Linked DNA regions of Oryctolagus cuniculus. The protein of the gene in region 3 interacts with the protein of the main gene of each other region in a pairwise test. Links are inferred from orthologs where the notes say so. Each region holds a gene or a part of one and is shown on either strand. Other genes may lie near its edges. The genes, in order: small EDRK-rich factor 2, TUSC2 and RBPMS.

The links.
Region 1: the proteins of RBPMS (region 3) and small EDRK-rich factor 2 interact in a two-hybrid assay, tested with the Homo sapiens proteins (2 studies listed by BioGRID and IntAct). The two-hybrid records come from large-scale screens. The link is inferred for Oryctolagus cuniculus from reciprocal best matches to the Homo sapiens genes RBPMS and SERF2.
Region 2: the proteins of RBPMS (region 3) and TUSC2 interact in binary tests that used the Homo sapiens proteins (3 or more experiments, as listed by UniProt). The link is inferred for Oryctolagus cuniculus from reciprocal best matches to the Homo sapiens genes RBPMS and TUSC2.

The regions. Positions count from the first base shown.
Region 1 is NC_091438.1:8,271,680-8,275,103, forward strand, and holds small EDRK-rich factor 2, read left to right. Parts: upstream 1-1,629; 5' UTR 1,630-1,688; coding exon 1,689-1,868; 3' UTR 1,869-2,187; downstream 2,188-3,424. UniProt on the Homo sapiens protein: Positive regulator of amyloid protein aggregation and proteotoxicity. Induces conformational changes in amyloid proteins, such as HTT, driving them into compact formations preceding the formation of aggregates.
Region 2 is NC_091441.1:98,988,456-98,993,197, reverse strand, and holds TUSC2 (tumor suppressor candidate 2), read right to left. Parts: upstream 3,074-4,742; 5' UTR 2,902-3,073; coding exon 2,750-2,901; intron 1,711-2,749; coding exon 1,590-1,710; intron 1,444-1,589; coding exon 1,378-1,443; 3' UTR 272-1,377; downstream 1-271. Other genes in the region: RASSF1 (ras association domain-containing protein 1), read right to left, coding at 4,451-4,597. UniProt on the Homo sapiens protein: May function as a tumor suppressor, inhibiting colony formation, causing G1 arrest and ultimately inducing apoptosis in homozygous 3p21.3 120-kb region-deficient cells.
Region 3 is NC_091433.1:80,541,711-80,546,352, reverse strand, and holds part of RBPMS (RNA-binding protein with multiple splicing), read right to left. Parts: intron 3,912-4,642; coding exon 3,761-3,911; intron 1-3,760.

The DNA.
Region 1 (3,424 bases), on a different chromosome or scaffold from region 3:
TTACCACAACCTTCAAGTAGACAATGAGAGACAGATGGCAACAGGGACAGCGGAACCGCTCCCAGATATGGTCAAAGACAGAAGGGTCTGTATTTTAGAAATCTGTGAGCCTGAGGCGGGATGGGTGTGAAGAGACGCAGGTGCAGGTGGTCACAGCCGCACTGCTAGAGAGCAAACGCGGAGAGAGCAGTCAGAGACGAAGGACATGTTAACGCAGGGGGAGATGGCACCAGCGGCTGCTAACTCCTCCATTCCTCAGGAAAACATCTTTACAGGGCCAAAGGAAGAAAACGCCCTCTCTGCAGCTACTGAAAACAGCCTCCCAGAATGAGGCGAATAAGGACGTTTTCGGTGAATAAAATTAAGAAGACTCATTATCAGCACAGCGTCTGTAAGAAATGAAAAAGTTCCCGCTAAAGGAAAATACCCAGTGCGAGTGACAGTCAGACCTTTAGGAATGCGTGGCACTGGCAATGACCATGAGCTAGGTAATAGGAAAGACTATTTTCCTAATTTTCTTTAAAATACTTATGACTATTTGATTAACAGATTTGGGGGGCCAGCACTGTGGCACAGCGGGTTAAGCCACCATCTGCAGTGCTGGCGTCCCATATGGGCACCAGTGCAAGTCCTGGCTGCTCCACTTCCGATCCAGCTCCCTGCTGATGTTCCTGGGAAATCAGCGGAAGATGGCCCAAGTCCTTGGGCCCCTGCACCCACATGGGAGACCTGGATGAAGCTCCTGGGTTCATGTCGTCAGCCTGGCCAAACCCTGGCTGTGTGGCCATTTGGGGAGTGAACCAGAAGATCAAAGATTCTCTCTCTCTCTCTCTCTCTGTGTGTGTGTGTGTCTTTGATTCTTCTCTGTAACCCTTTCAAATAAATAAATAAATCTTTACAAAAATAAATAAAAATATGGGGCCGGCACTGTGGCATAACAGGTAAAGCCACCGCCTACAGTGCTGGCATCCCATACGGGTTCAAGTTCCAGCTGTTCCACTTCCGAACCAGCTCTCTGCTCTGGCCTGGGAAGGCAGCAGAAGATGGCCCAAGTCCTTGGGCCCCTGCACCCACATGGGAGACCTGGATGAGGCTCCTGGCTCCTGGCTTTGGATCGGCACAGCTTTGGCCTTTACAGCCAACTGGGGAATGAACCAGAGGACAGAAGACCTCTCTCTCTGCCTCTCTGCCTCTTCTCTGTGTAACTCTGACTTTCAAGTAAATAAATAAATCTTTAAAAATAAATAAATAAAAAGATTACCATAGATAAAAGGGGCATTTTTGTAATGATCAAAGTATCAGTTATTTAGGAAGCCATTCCAATGGTAAATGTCTACGTTCTAAATAACAGAGCCTCTGACTACATGTAGCAGAAGTCAAAAGGAGAAGAAAAACAGGCAATTTCACAATCCCAATAAGAGAATTGTAATCTGTATCTCTCTTCCTCTCTCTCTCCATCTCTCTCTCTCAGCAATTAATAGAACTAAACAAAAAGTCAATAAAAGACAAAAGGGTTGAATGACTTTATCAACCACCTTGTCTAACCCATTATAGAATATGACACTGTAAAATCTTAAGTGTGTATGGTGTGTTCACCAAGACAGGCCAGATGCAGCCCTCAAGAAATTAGGAAGGCGGGAGAGAACGAGGGGACGCAACGGAGGCAGGCCGGAGCCGCTGCCGTCGCCATGACCCGCGGTAACCAGCGTGAACTCGCCCGCCAGAATAATATGAAAAAGCAGAGCGACTCGGTTAAGGGAAAGCGCCGAGATGACGGGCTGTCTGCTGCCGCCCGCAAGCAGAGGGACTCGGAGATCATGCAGCAGAAGCAGAAAAAGGCAAACGAGAAGAAGGAGGAACCCAAGTAGCTTTGTGGCTTCGTGTCCAGCCCTCTTGCCCTTCGCCTGTCTGCCTGGAGCCAGTCCCACCATGCTCGCGTTTCCTCCTGTAGTGCTCACAGGTCCCAGCACCGATGGCATTCCCTTTGCCCTGAGTCTGCAGCGGGTCCCTTTTGTGCTTCCTTCCCCTCAGGTAGCCTCTCTCCCCCTGGGCCACTCCTGGGGGTGAGAGGGTTACCTCTTCCCAGTGTTTTTTATTCCTGTGGGGCACACCCCAAAGTATTAAAAGTAGCTTTGTAAAAAAAAAAAAAAGAAGAAGAAGAAAGAAAGAAAGAAAGAAAGAAAGAAATTAGGAAGGCATTAAAACCATACAAACTTTAAAATATGACCGCAATAAAGTTAAATTAGAAAGAGTTGTGGCACAGCGGGTCCGAGCTGCTGCCTGGGATGCCGGCATCTCATATTGGAGTGCTCGCTCAGGTCCCGCTACTCTGTGCTTCTGGTCCAGCTCTCTGCTGATGTGCCCAGGAGGCAGCAGATGGGAGCCTCAGCACGTGGGCTCCTGCCACGCACATGGGTGATCTGGATCGAGTTCCTGGCTCCTGGGTGCTGTGGTCATTTGGGGAGTGATACAGCGGATGGGAGATCTCTCTCTCTCTCCCCCCCCCTTCATTTCAAATAATAAATCTTTTTTTAAAAGATTTTATTTATCTGAGAGGTAGAGATACAGACAGTGAGAGGGAGAGACAGAGAGAAAGGTCTCCCATCCACTGGTTCACTCCCCAGATGGCCGCAATGGCTGGAGCTGCGCCGATCTGAAGCCAGGAGCCAGGAGCTTCCTCTGGGTCTCCTACATGGGTGCAGGGGCCCAAGGACTTGGGCCATCTTCTACTGCTTTCCCGGGCCACAGCAGAGAGCTGGACTGGAAGAGGAGTAGCCAGGACTAGAACCGGCGCCCATATGGGATGCTGGCGCCGCAGGTGGAGGATTAACCAGTGAGCCACGGAGCTGGCCCCCAAATAATAAATCTCTTTTTTTTTTAAATTGCAAGCCAGGGACAGGGAAATATATTTGAGAGCAGAGTAGAAGTTCACAGGCACGAACGTGAAGGCTTCTTGCCATGATGATGTTGCCGGAGGAAGCTGATCCTAAGGAGGAGGCTGGTCCAGACAAGCTCCCTGGAAAGAGCACCTGAACTCAGACCTCAATGATGAGATCCAAGAGAGAACCTCGAAAATTCACGGAGGTTGCATAGTCTGAAAAAAATAAACTATGTATGAGTTCCAAAAAAGTTCTTGCATCCAAATAATCTTTTAATTCCCTTTTGAAGTCCTCAAGGGAACAAATGAATGGGTTATAGGTTGAAGAGTGTCTCTCCGACAGGTGTTGGAGACCGCACACTATGACCTCCTCTGGCAGCGTGACCTCCACAGAGGTAAGAGGTCAAGGTGAGGCCAGAGCGGCTCAGAGCGCCTGCGGCTATGCAGGGGCCCTAGCACAGATCCGCAGGGGCAGCCCTCAGAGGAACCGACCCCCGAGACGCTTCGATTTTGGACTTGTGGCTGCCAGAACCGTGAGACGACACA
Region 2 (4,742 bases), on a different chromosome or scaffold from region 3:
CGTCCACCTTAGGGCAGGCAGGTGCTGCCAATCCTGAGAGGACAGGCCAGGTCTTCCGACTCCACAGGGAATACAGAGCGCCCAACAGCAGAGGGCCCCGCCCATCTTGAGGGAACCTGCAAGGAAGTCTGTGAGGACACAGCCACCTGCTGGCCACAGCTGGGATGGCCACAGGCTGGGCTCAGGTTTGCCTTGGGTCCTTGCTGGAGACAGGGGACCTCCCAGGTGGTAGATACCCGGTGTCCCCGCCCCTGAGGACGCCATTCTCATGTGCAGGATCTACAAATAACTTTATTGAACTTGAACAAATAACACAACAGTCTTCCAATGCTGGGCGCCACCCTCCCCAAGTCATTTCCCACACTCTGGAAGCACAGAGCTCACACAGTAAGGAATTAAAAAAAAAAGTCATCTTTCTAGAGAAACCAGACTCTGCCCCAACATCGTTCTGGACTAGACTATTTACAAACCTTCACATTTTAAGTATTTCTTTGCGCGTTTCCCCTCCTTTCTATCCAGTACTTAGTCTTGCTGATCGTGAAGAGGTCCAGGGCTTCGAGGGGGTGGTGGGTTACTCACAGCTCTTGTACCAGGGATCAGCCCTAGGGATTTGTCCCTTACCACAGAGTAGTAAACAGCCCCCTCCCACTTGGGGGTCGGGGGGCTGCTGCAAAGGCAGAGGGGATGAGAATAGGTGGGTTGGGCAACTCCCCACAGGCACAGGTGCAGCCCCTCCTCACCCTGGCCTGTGCGCTCTCAGCTGGGGGCGGGGGGAAGGATCAGTCTCTATTCTTATCAACAGCCTGCAAACTCTCCGTTCATCGAGGGTGGGAACAAGTGGCAGGTAGGCAGGAAGAATCGGGCTGGTGCTGCCCCCAGTCTCTGTCCAACACAGGAGGAATCGAGGTAGCAAACGGCTGAAATGCTCCGACTAGAGGGAAGGGAAGTGCGGGGAAGGAAGCTCCCACTTGTGTAGCCCCCACAGCCCGGGGGCTGGAGGAAGGCAGATCTTGCTTATAAAGTGCTGTAGCTTCTAACAGGGCTGGGCCCTGGGCAAGCTTGGAAGAAAGCAGGCCAGGCAAGGAACCAGGCACCAGGCTTTCCTGATCAGTGGACGCCCTGCCATGCTTCCTGCAGGAGTGGCTGGGGAGGGTGGGCTGCTAACTCCACAAGTAGCCTTTGCCAGCCACCACCCACCTGCTCCACATACAACCCGATTTCCCAGTCAACACTGCACAGCCCTGCTCACAGCTGAAGGTGCTGGGCCAACAGTTTATTCAGGGCTGTGGCCCCACCTGGGCTCCTCACTGGAAGCTGCACCTTGAGCCTGGGGTGTCTTGCTGGGGCAGGGGTACTTGCGTCTGCTACTCCCCAGGCTCACACCTCATAGAGGATCACGGGGAAGTCCACGTGGATGCGAGGGGGGTCCAGCTTCACGAGGCCCTGCCGAGGAAACAGGCTGGTGAGGGGCAGCTCCGGGCTCCGCTCCAGAGAGCGTTTCTGTTCCTCCCACCTCCTCCCCCAGGAGCCCCATCTGGGTCTACCTCCACACACCTGATGGAGCTCCATGGCCCTGCCCAGCCCCTCACCTGAGGAATCAGATTCTTATGTACCCGCCTCAGCTTGGCCCGCTTCTGTCCATTCTTGGTGACGATTGTCTCCTCATAGAACTCGTGAGCCAGGTCCCCATCCTCATCGTAGAACATGGAGCTGGAAGGAGAGTGGAGGGGGCCGGCGGTTTGGCCTGATGGTTAACCTGCTGCCTGCAGCGCCAGCATCCCGTACGGGTGCCAATTTGAGTCCTGGCTGCTGCACTTCTGATCCTACTCCCGGCTAATGTGCCTGGGAAAGCAGCAGGACATAGCCCGAGTGCTTGGGCCCCTGCACCCAGGTGGGAGACCGGAAAACACTCCTGGTTTCTGGCTTCAAACTGGCCCAGCTCCAGCCATTGTGGCCCTTGCCTTCACGCGTGACTTCTAGGTAGGTGAGGTGGTGGCCTGGGCGTGTTGGTGTCACTCCAGAAAAGACTACTGGCTCAGTGCCAAGGGCTGAGCCAGCAGATGCCTGGGCTAGGAAGGAGTAGAAACGGGGGAAGCCTGCTGCCTGTTCCACCGAGTGGCTGATGCTTCCCAACGGCCACTGGTGTGTCCGTATCAGGGAGAATGGCCGTCTCCAGGAGCCAACTGGGGCCAGGCCCATCTGGTGTCCCTGTTTGGGCCCCTAAGGGAAGCGACAGGCCTAGGTCGGTGCTCTGTATCTGGAGAACGTAACCGGTGTCAATTTTTTCTTCCTCACCTTGACGCCCCAACACAAGTCCAGGCCTGCTTTCCCAGCCACTAACTACCCTTAGTAGTGCGTACCCACCCCTGCGGAAGGTACGCGGTCTAAACAGAAGGTCATTCTCCCTTGGAAGAACTGGGGGAGGGAGAGGCTAGGGGCTCTGAGCTTGCACGCTGAACTGGAAGGGATGAAAGGGAGAGGCCCTGAGGTCTCACAGAGGCCTTACTTCAGCTTTCCCGTGTGGACAGACCACGCAGAGCCAAGGCTCAAGCCTACGCTCCCCCAGGAAGAGCGGTCAGACCATTAGATTCTACTGGCCCGGCTTTCCCCACCCCTGGTTGGACGGGGGCCCGCAATTTGGGAGTTGTCCTGGTTTGGGTGTAGGGTGTTGTAGCGGAGGGCGTTCCCGCGTCGCAGAACGCCCGTCCCCCCCGGCCTGTCCCACCCCGGGTGGAACCCACGGCCTTACCCGCGGCGCGTGAATACGAAGGGCGGCACGGTTCGGCCTCGAGGCCGCACCAAAGCTTGCTCTGCACCCGCCGCTGCCACCTCCGGGCCGCCGCCCCCCGCCGCCGAGGCGAAGGGCCACAGCCCCCGAGCTTTGGAGCCGGTGGCGCCCATGTCAGGGCCGCCGGCGCATGGCGGACCCCGCGGCCGCTCAGCTCTCACAGTGCACTGGGAGCCACCATGCCCTGCCCCAGCCTCCGCTCGCAGGTGCCACCGCCGGCGCCGCCTTCCGCAGGCTCGGCTGTCTCCACGGAAACCTCACTTCCGTTTCCGCCGGCCACGCACGCTCCCTCTTCTGATTGGCTGCTGCGCCCATCCGTCCGTGGATTAGGGCCGCTGTCGGCTGGCTGGGGCTGGGCATCCCGGCATGCACTGCGAGACGCAGGTCCCAGCAGGCCGTGCTGTCTGCAGCAGGGGCTACTCCCTCCCAGGAAAGAGGCGGTGCTATGTGGCTCTGAAGACCCCTAGCGCTGCCCCGCGCCGCGCCGCACCGCGCGCTTAGATAGGAGAACCCGCTCAGACACGGAATCCCTTCCAGCTGCTCTAGGCGGGGCTGCAGGGTGCCTGGTTTTTGCCACCCCCACTGGCACAAAGGAAGAAACTGCTACACACTGAGGTCTAAAGAACTTGTGTTACTTCCCCAACCGCCAGCGTTCATTCTTTCGGAAAGCACTGTGCACCAGTGAGCTGGTCCACAGTAGCGGATCCGTACCTACTCGGATGCAGGGCTAGGCCAGTCTTCCTGCGCTTAGCATGCGTCCAGAAGCGATTTCCCTCAGCTCCAGGTGGAGCTGGTTTCAGCCCTCCTCCAACCGGGGGACCAAGTGAGGGCTGAGCACACACCCATGCTCACGAACCTTCATGGACTGGTCCCGTGTGACTTCTCAGAAGCTGCCCCGAGACAGTATATCCGCCGTGGCAGCTGCGGGCCCACAGTAAGACACCAAAATCGAGAGGATCCGCAAATCTTTATTCAGCCAATTCTCTCAGGCCGTGATGACGACTGTCCCCCACCCCATTCCCCACAGGAGGCATTCGGCTGAGGCCACCAAACATGACATACATTCACACACTCCATCGGAAATACCTGAAGGGGAGACCCCGGCTTTGACCTGCACACAGGTACGGTCCTGGCCCCGTGCCCACATTCACGCAGACCCTGCTCCAGGGCCAGCCTCCCGCGCGGAGGCACCGAGGCACTGTCACAGCACTGGGCGCCAGCACTCCCTGACCTCAGGTGTGGGAGGAGTCGGAAGGCCCCCCAGAAGGAACCGTGGACTCTTCCTGGATACCTGCTTTTTCTGAGCCCCCATAGATGAAGGCCCTCACCCCTGCAAACATGACCTTGTGTGGTCTGCAAGGTCCCCAAAAGTCTCATCTTTGAGACTCAAATTAAGGCAACTTCTGTCTGTTCCGCCCCTGCTACAAGCCTAGGGCAGCCCTGGCTCCCTCCAACCCAGTACAGGACGGGCTGAGGGCTGCAAAGCCAGGCCCCGCTAAACCCGCTGCTGGACACGGGGCCAGCCCCTCGGCTGTCGGCTCGGCTCCTTCTCCCCAGGGCAGGGCCTCCCCCCGCACTCACGCCTCAGGCCCCAGGGGCCCGGTCACACTCACACAGCACACGCTGGGCGCTGCCTACTCTCCTGCCATCCAGGGGTCACGGTCACCCCACGGGGCAGGCGTGCAGGGCCTCCTGGATCTTCTGCCGGCAGCGGGAGTACTTCTGCAGGATCCGGCGGAGGTGCTCCTCCTCCTCGCGCTGCAGGATGCGCAGGAAGTTGTGCAGCTCGGGCATGCTGAAGGCGTCCCACTGCAGAGGGCAGAGCACAGGCTCCAGCAGCTGCAGCCGCCCCAGGGAGGACCCGGACCCCGGGCCGCACCTGCTGGCATCAGGTGTTCCCCCAGGAGTCTCGTGCCCAAACAGCCTGCACGAGAAGCCCACCAGCTGTCAAACA
Region 3 (4,642 bases):
AATCACCTCTACAAAAACCCGGTCTCCAAGCACGGGCACATCCTGAGATACCTGGCTGGGATTACAACTATGGATTTTAAGGCAGGCAAGTTGTTGACCAGGTCAACTCAGCCGACCCAGGCCTTCCTCAGTTTCTTCAATTCTGTTTATCAGAGTTTTGGGCACCCAGAATCGTCCTGTAACCAGGAGGAAAATAACAGAGAAGTGGTGACACACTCCTTGACATGTCTAAAGCAGAGTTTTTTGGCTACAGAACACGAGCTCCCTGGGTTACAAGAAGTCAGCTCCTCCAACATTTTCCCGCATCCCTTACCGACTGCTTTCTCCAAACTGTATTACATACGAAAGAGCATGAGGTGAAGCTCAAATGAACAGCAACGTAGCTAGGAAGGCAGAACTGCCGTCTGGGGACTGCAGGTGCATTTCGGCCATCCTTGCAAACACAAATGGCTACAGTGACACGATGACGACCCCTCAGAAGACCAACACCCGCTCTAACTAAGCGGCACTGCACAGCACACATGCACTGGTACACGACACACAGTAGGCCTGCGTCGTCTTCAGTGCAAGCCTAAGATACTGCTTCACTTAGTTCTCCAATCCCATGAGGAAAATATTATTTGCATTTTACAGGGGGCGGGAACGGGCGCACAGCAAGGTTAAACATTTTCATGATAGGCTGAGAAGTTTGTGACTAGCATGCAGAGCCAAAGCCTCCTTGACAGCTTCCAGCCTAAAGCCCAGGCTCTCCACGGAAGGCCGCCATGCAGCCCGGGAAGTTCCAGCACCTGGTTCCATCCCCCTTCAAGCTTGGCGGAGGATGCGCTCAGCAAACACGCCAGTGCAGTCTGGGAGACAGACTACACTGCAGAATCTGTGTCCTTTATGCGGGGCCAAGGTTTTCTCTAGGGAGCATCACTGGCTCCTTGGACTAAACGCTGTCATGGCATCGGCGAGTCTCCTTCTTCTCCAGGGTCTAGCACCCTGGATGCTCACGTAAGCTCGAGCGACTGCTTGTTGGACAGCCGAGTCACAGAGTGTTCTTTCTCCCTTGAAGGATGGCAAAGAGCGCTCTGCAGTCACTACCGAATGACAACACTAACAAGCAGCCGCATTCGGAGAAACTTCTCCTGTGGCCCAGAATGGAGAAGCCTGAATTCAGGGCTCTGTCAGTCCTAGGACTGTGGGATTCCCTCACAGACCACAGCTGACAGGGGATCAACTAAGCACCCCGAGTGCCGATCGTGTGCACTGGGCAACCCGACGGGCCCACGGGGACCCATCACGGTGGTCTCGCCCTGCTGTGCCTCCAGGAAAGCCACTTGTCTGTGCGTGTGACATGGAGTGTGGCAATCCCCAGGAGGAATGCAGACGGCCGATAAGGCTGCTCTGAGTCACAGCGGGGTTGCTGATCAGGGCCTCTATGTCATGAAAAGGAGCTATACTGAGAGAAATCACACTCGCTTTATTTTCTCGAGAAGATACTGTGAGCTGTCTGTATTTCCTCCCTTTTCCCTCAAGTCTGTCGTGCTAGGAGGAGCCAGGGAGCTTTTGCCACTGCCCAGGCACCGAGCAGACCGTTCCTGGGCTGCTCCGAGTGCAGGGGAGGGTGGGGGGTGGGGTGGGCAGCACTGGGGCTCTGCCCCTCGCTCCGGTTCCACGGCAGGCACCTGCGGGCGGGCAGTGCGTTCACCTGGCAGCTTCTGTACGCGCTGCCTTGAACCAGCTGCTGTCTCCCCTGCCTGCCTACTGCACAGGGCTTCGCCAGCAGATCCAAGAGACTTCTGACATTTTGAAAAGAAAAGCAGCAAAGGAAAGGATAACATTTCAGGTTCGCTACTGCTCCCCTTTCTGTCTGAACCAATCTCTTCAAAGGTCTCAGAAATCTGATGCAGGCAAATTCACTAAAAAAGAAAAGACTTACTCCAGGTTAACTTCTCTAACTGAAGGCGTTCTAAAAATACTCTTTTCTAGGCAGAGCATCGTTGTGTAGCAGGTTAAGCCACCGTCCGCACCACCTGCATCCCATATGGGCACCTGTTCAAGTCCTGGCTGCTCCACTTCTGATCTAGCTCCCTGCTAATGTGCCTGGGAAAGCAGTGGAAGATGGCCCAAGTGGTTGGACCCCTGCCACCCACGTGGGAGACCTGGAAGAAGCTTTGGGCTCCTGGCTTTGGCCTGGTACAGCCTTGGCCGTTGAGGCCATTTGGGGAGTGAACCAGCAGATGGAAGATCTCTCTCTTGCTATGTCTGCCTTTTAAGTAAAATAAAAAAGTACATATCTTAAAAAAATACCCATCTAATGCCTTGCTCAAGAGAGAAAATAAAGAAGTAGACAAATGTCTCCTTAGTTCTATAAACAGCCAAATCTAAATCTCAATTTATCTACTCAGTGTAATCCACCAGTATTAAATATAGACAATATACAAAGCACTGGGCTACCCCTTGAAGACTTATGTAAGGAATGCCGGGTAATCCCCTGTATGGCAGCGGCACTACGAAATGCAACTTTTGTTTAGACTTCCTTCTCCAAGAGGTCTCAAGTTTCCCTACAACGTGGAAGAACAAACTGATTTTTCTAACTTTTATGTTAAAACGCGCTGGGGGAGAAGCTCTTATCTATGACTCTCCACTGACACACTCAGGCTTTTAAAAGACCAAGTGAGCTCAGAGTGACTAACTTCCACCATGACCTGATTAACTCTGACAGGAGCCCTTCAATCTCAACACGGAGAGCTGAAATGTGTCCTCAGGGAGAGCGGGAAGATGACCGTATTCACATGGCTCAGCAGGAGGATCTGCAAGGTGAGACAGAGACGTGGCCGCTAACGACAAGTCACGCGGGCTTCCTGGGGTGCCCTGCCCCAGCAGGCCACGCGGGACTCCGCAAACTGAAAAGGAAAACGAAGATAAGCTATTCAAAGGCCAATGCCGTGGTCTGGCCATTCGGCTGAAGCAGCTCATTAAGGCTTAGCAATTAGCCAGCGTCCTTACCCGGTTCATTTAAAACAGGAAGCCCTGAATTTCCTTAAGGCTTTGCTAGTGTTAGTCCACCAGAACTAACTGTTCAACTACAGGGATTCTTTGTGTGTGATTACTTTTCCCCTGAGAGTTATGGCTAAACTGTTCTCAAAAACAGAATCTCCTAAGACCCGCCTCTTTCACTTTTTTCCCCCATTTATTTGAAAGGCAAATTGGTAAGAGAGAAATCTTCTATCTGCTGGTTCGCTCCCGAAATGGCCACATCAGGGGCACTAGCACTTGGGCTATCTGCTGCTGCTTTCCCAGACGCGTTAGCAGGGAGCTGGATCAGAAGCGGAGCAGTGCTTGTATGGGATGCTGGCACTGCTGGCGGTGGCTTAACCTGCTCTGCCACCATGGCGGCCCCACCTCTTTCACTTTTGATAGACACAGAACTGATGCCTTTGAACACAAGGAGAAAAGTGAATGCTGAGCACCAGCTCCGACGTCCAAGGAGCGGGGGAACAGAGGATTCCTACCGCAAAGCAAACAGGGGCGGACTCACAGTGGTCAGCATCACACTCGGGAAACCCACTGCACAGCAAGCGCGAGTTTCAGGGTATGGGTTCTGCTCAGGCCACACCCTCTCCGGGGCAGCCGGTCACGACAAGAATGCTGGGTTTGGAACTCAGACAGGCGGAGAGGACAGGAGACTCCACGCCCAAGGAGTCACCTCACACACAGCAGCCCGTGCACAACCCCTGGCTTCTCTTCCCAAAATAAAAGTGGATCCACTTACACGGCTCTCTGGCGATGAACTGAGGTACAGTGTTGGGCAGAGGAGTGCTGGGGTTTGGAGTCCCTACTAGTTTGTTCTTGGCCATCTTCGTGTTTGCCTTAGCAAACTCGAGTCGTAGTGTTTGCGGTATTTCAGGATCGAAGCGGATGCCCTTTGGAAATAAAGAACAAATGGGAGATGTTTTCATTTCCTTCGCGTCAAACCGGATTGGTGACAAAATAAACACACCAGCACACCCTGGCCTGTCCCTAAAAAAAAAAGGCCAAGGAGAGCTCTCACTCTCACCGCTTTCAGGGAAATACACAAAAATGCACAGCACGGAGGGTCCAGAAAAATCAAGGAATTCAGCTTAATTACAAACTTCAGTTACCGGGATTTTCAACAAACTCCTTTTTTCTGGGAGACAAAAAAAAACAAAAAACAAAACAAAAAAAAACACCTTTCTGGTTCAATTTTCAAATTTTGGGTCAGCAAATTCCTAGCACCATTAACAACTTTGAGGAACTGGCCACCAGCAAGAATGAAAACTGTGACTGATCCCACGAGAACGAAGTACTGTGTAGCTCTGACACCTGGTATCCAGGAGGCTGGGGCGGCCACCGGCGTCCACACACTGAAGGACAACAGAGTTAATTTCTCAGTGCTCTTCATTGCCTATAGGTGGAGAACAAGATTCCCACCCCCTGTCTAATCACGGAACTTTATAACGGTAACACAAGTACTCTGCGTTCCTCAGGAGACAGGAATGAAATGGCTGTCAGATTTCAATGTAACAAATGTCCTTTGATTCCAGTTAGCTTATAAACTCATATAAAATCTAAATGCCTTGCTGTAGCAAAGCTCTGACTTTGATTAGAGTTGGCTTGCTGGCTGCAGAAAGAT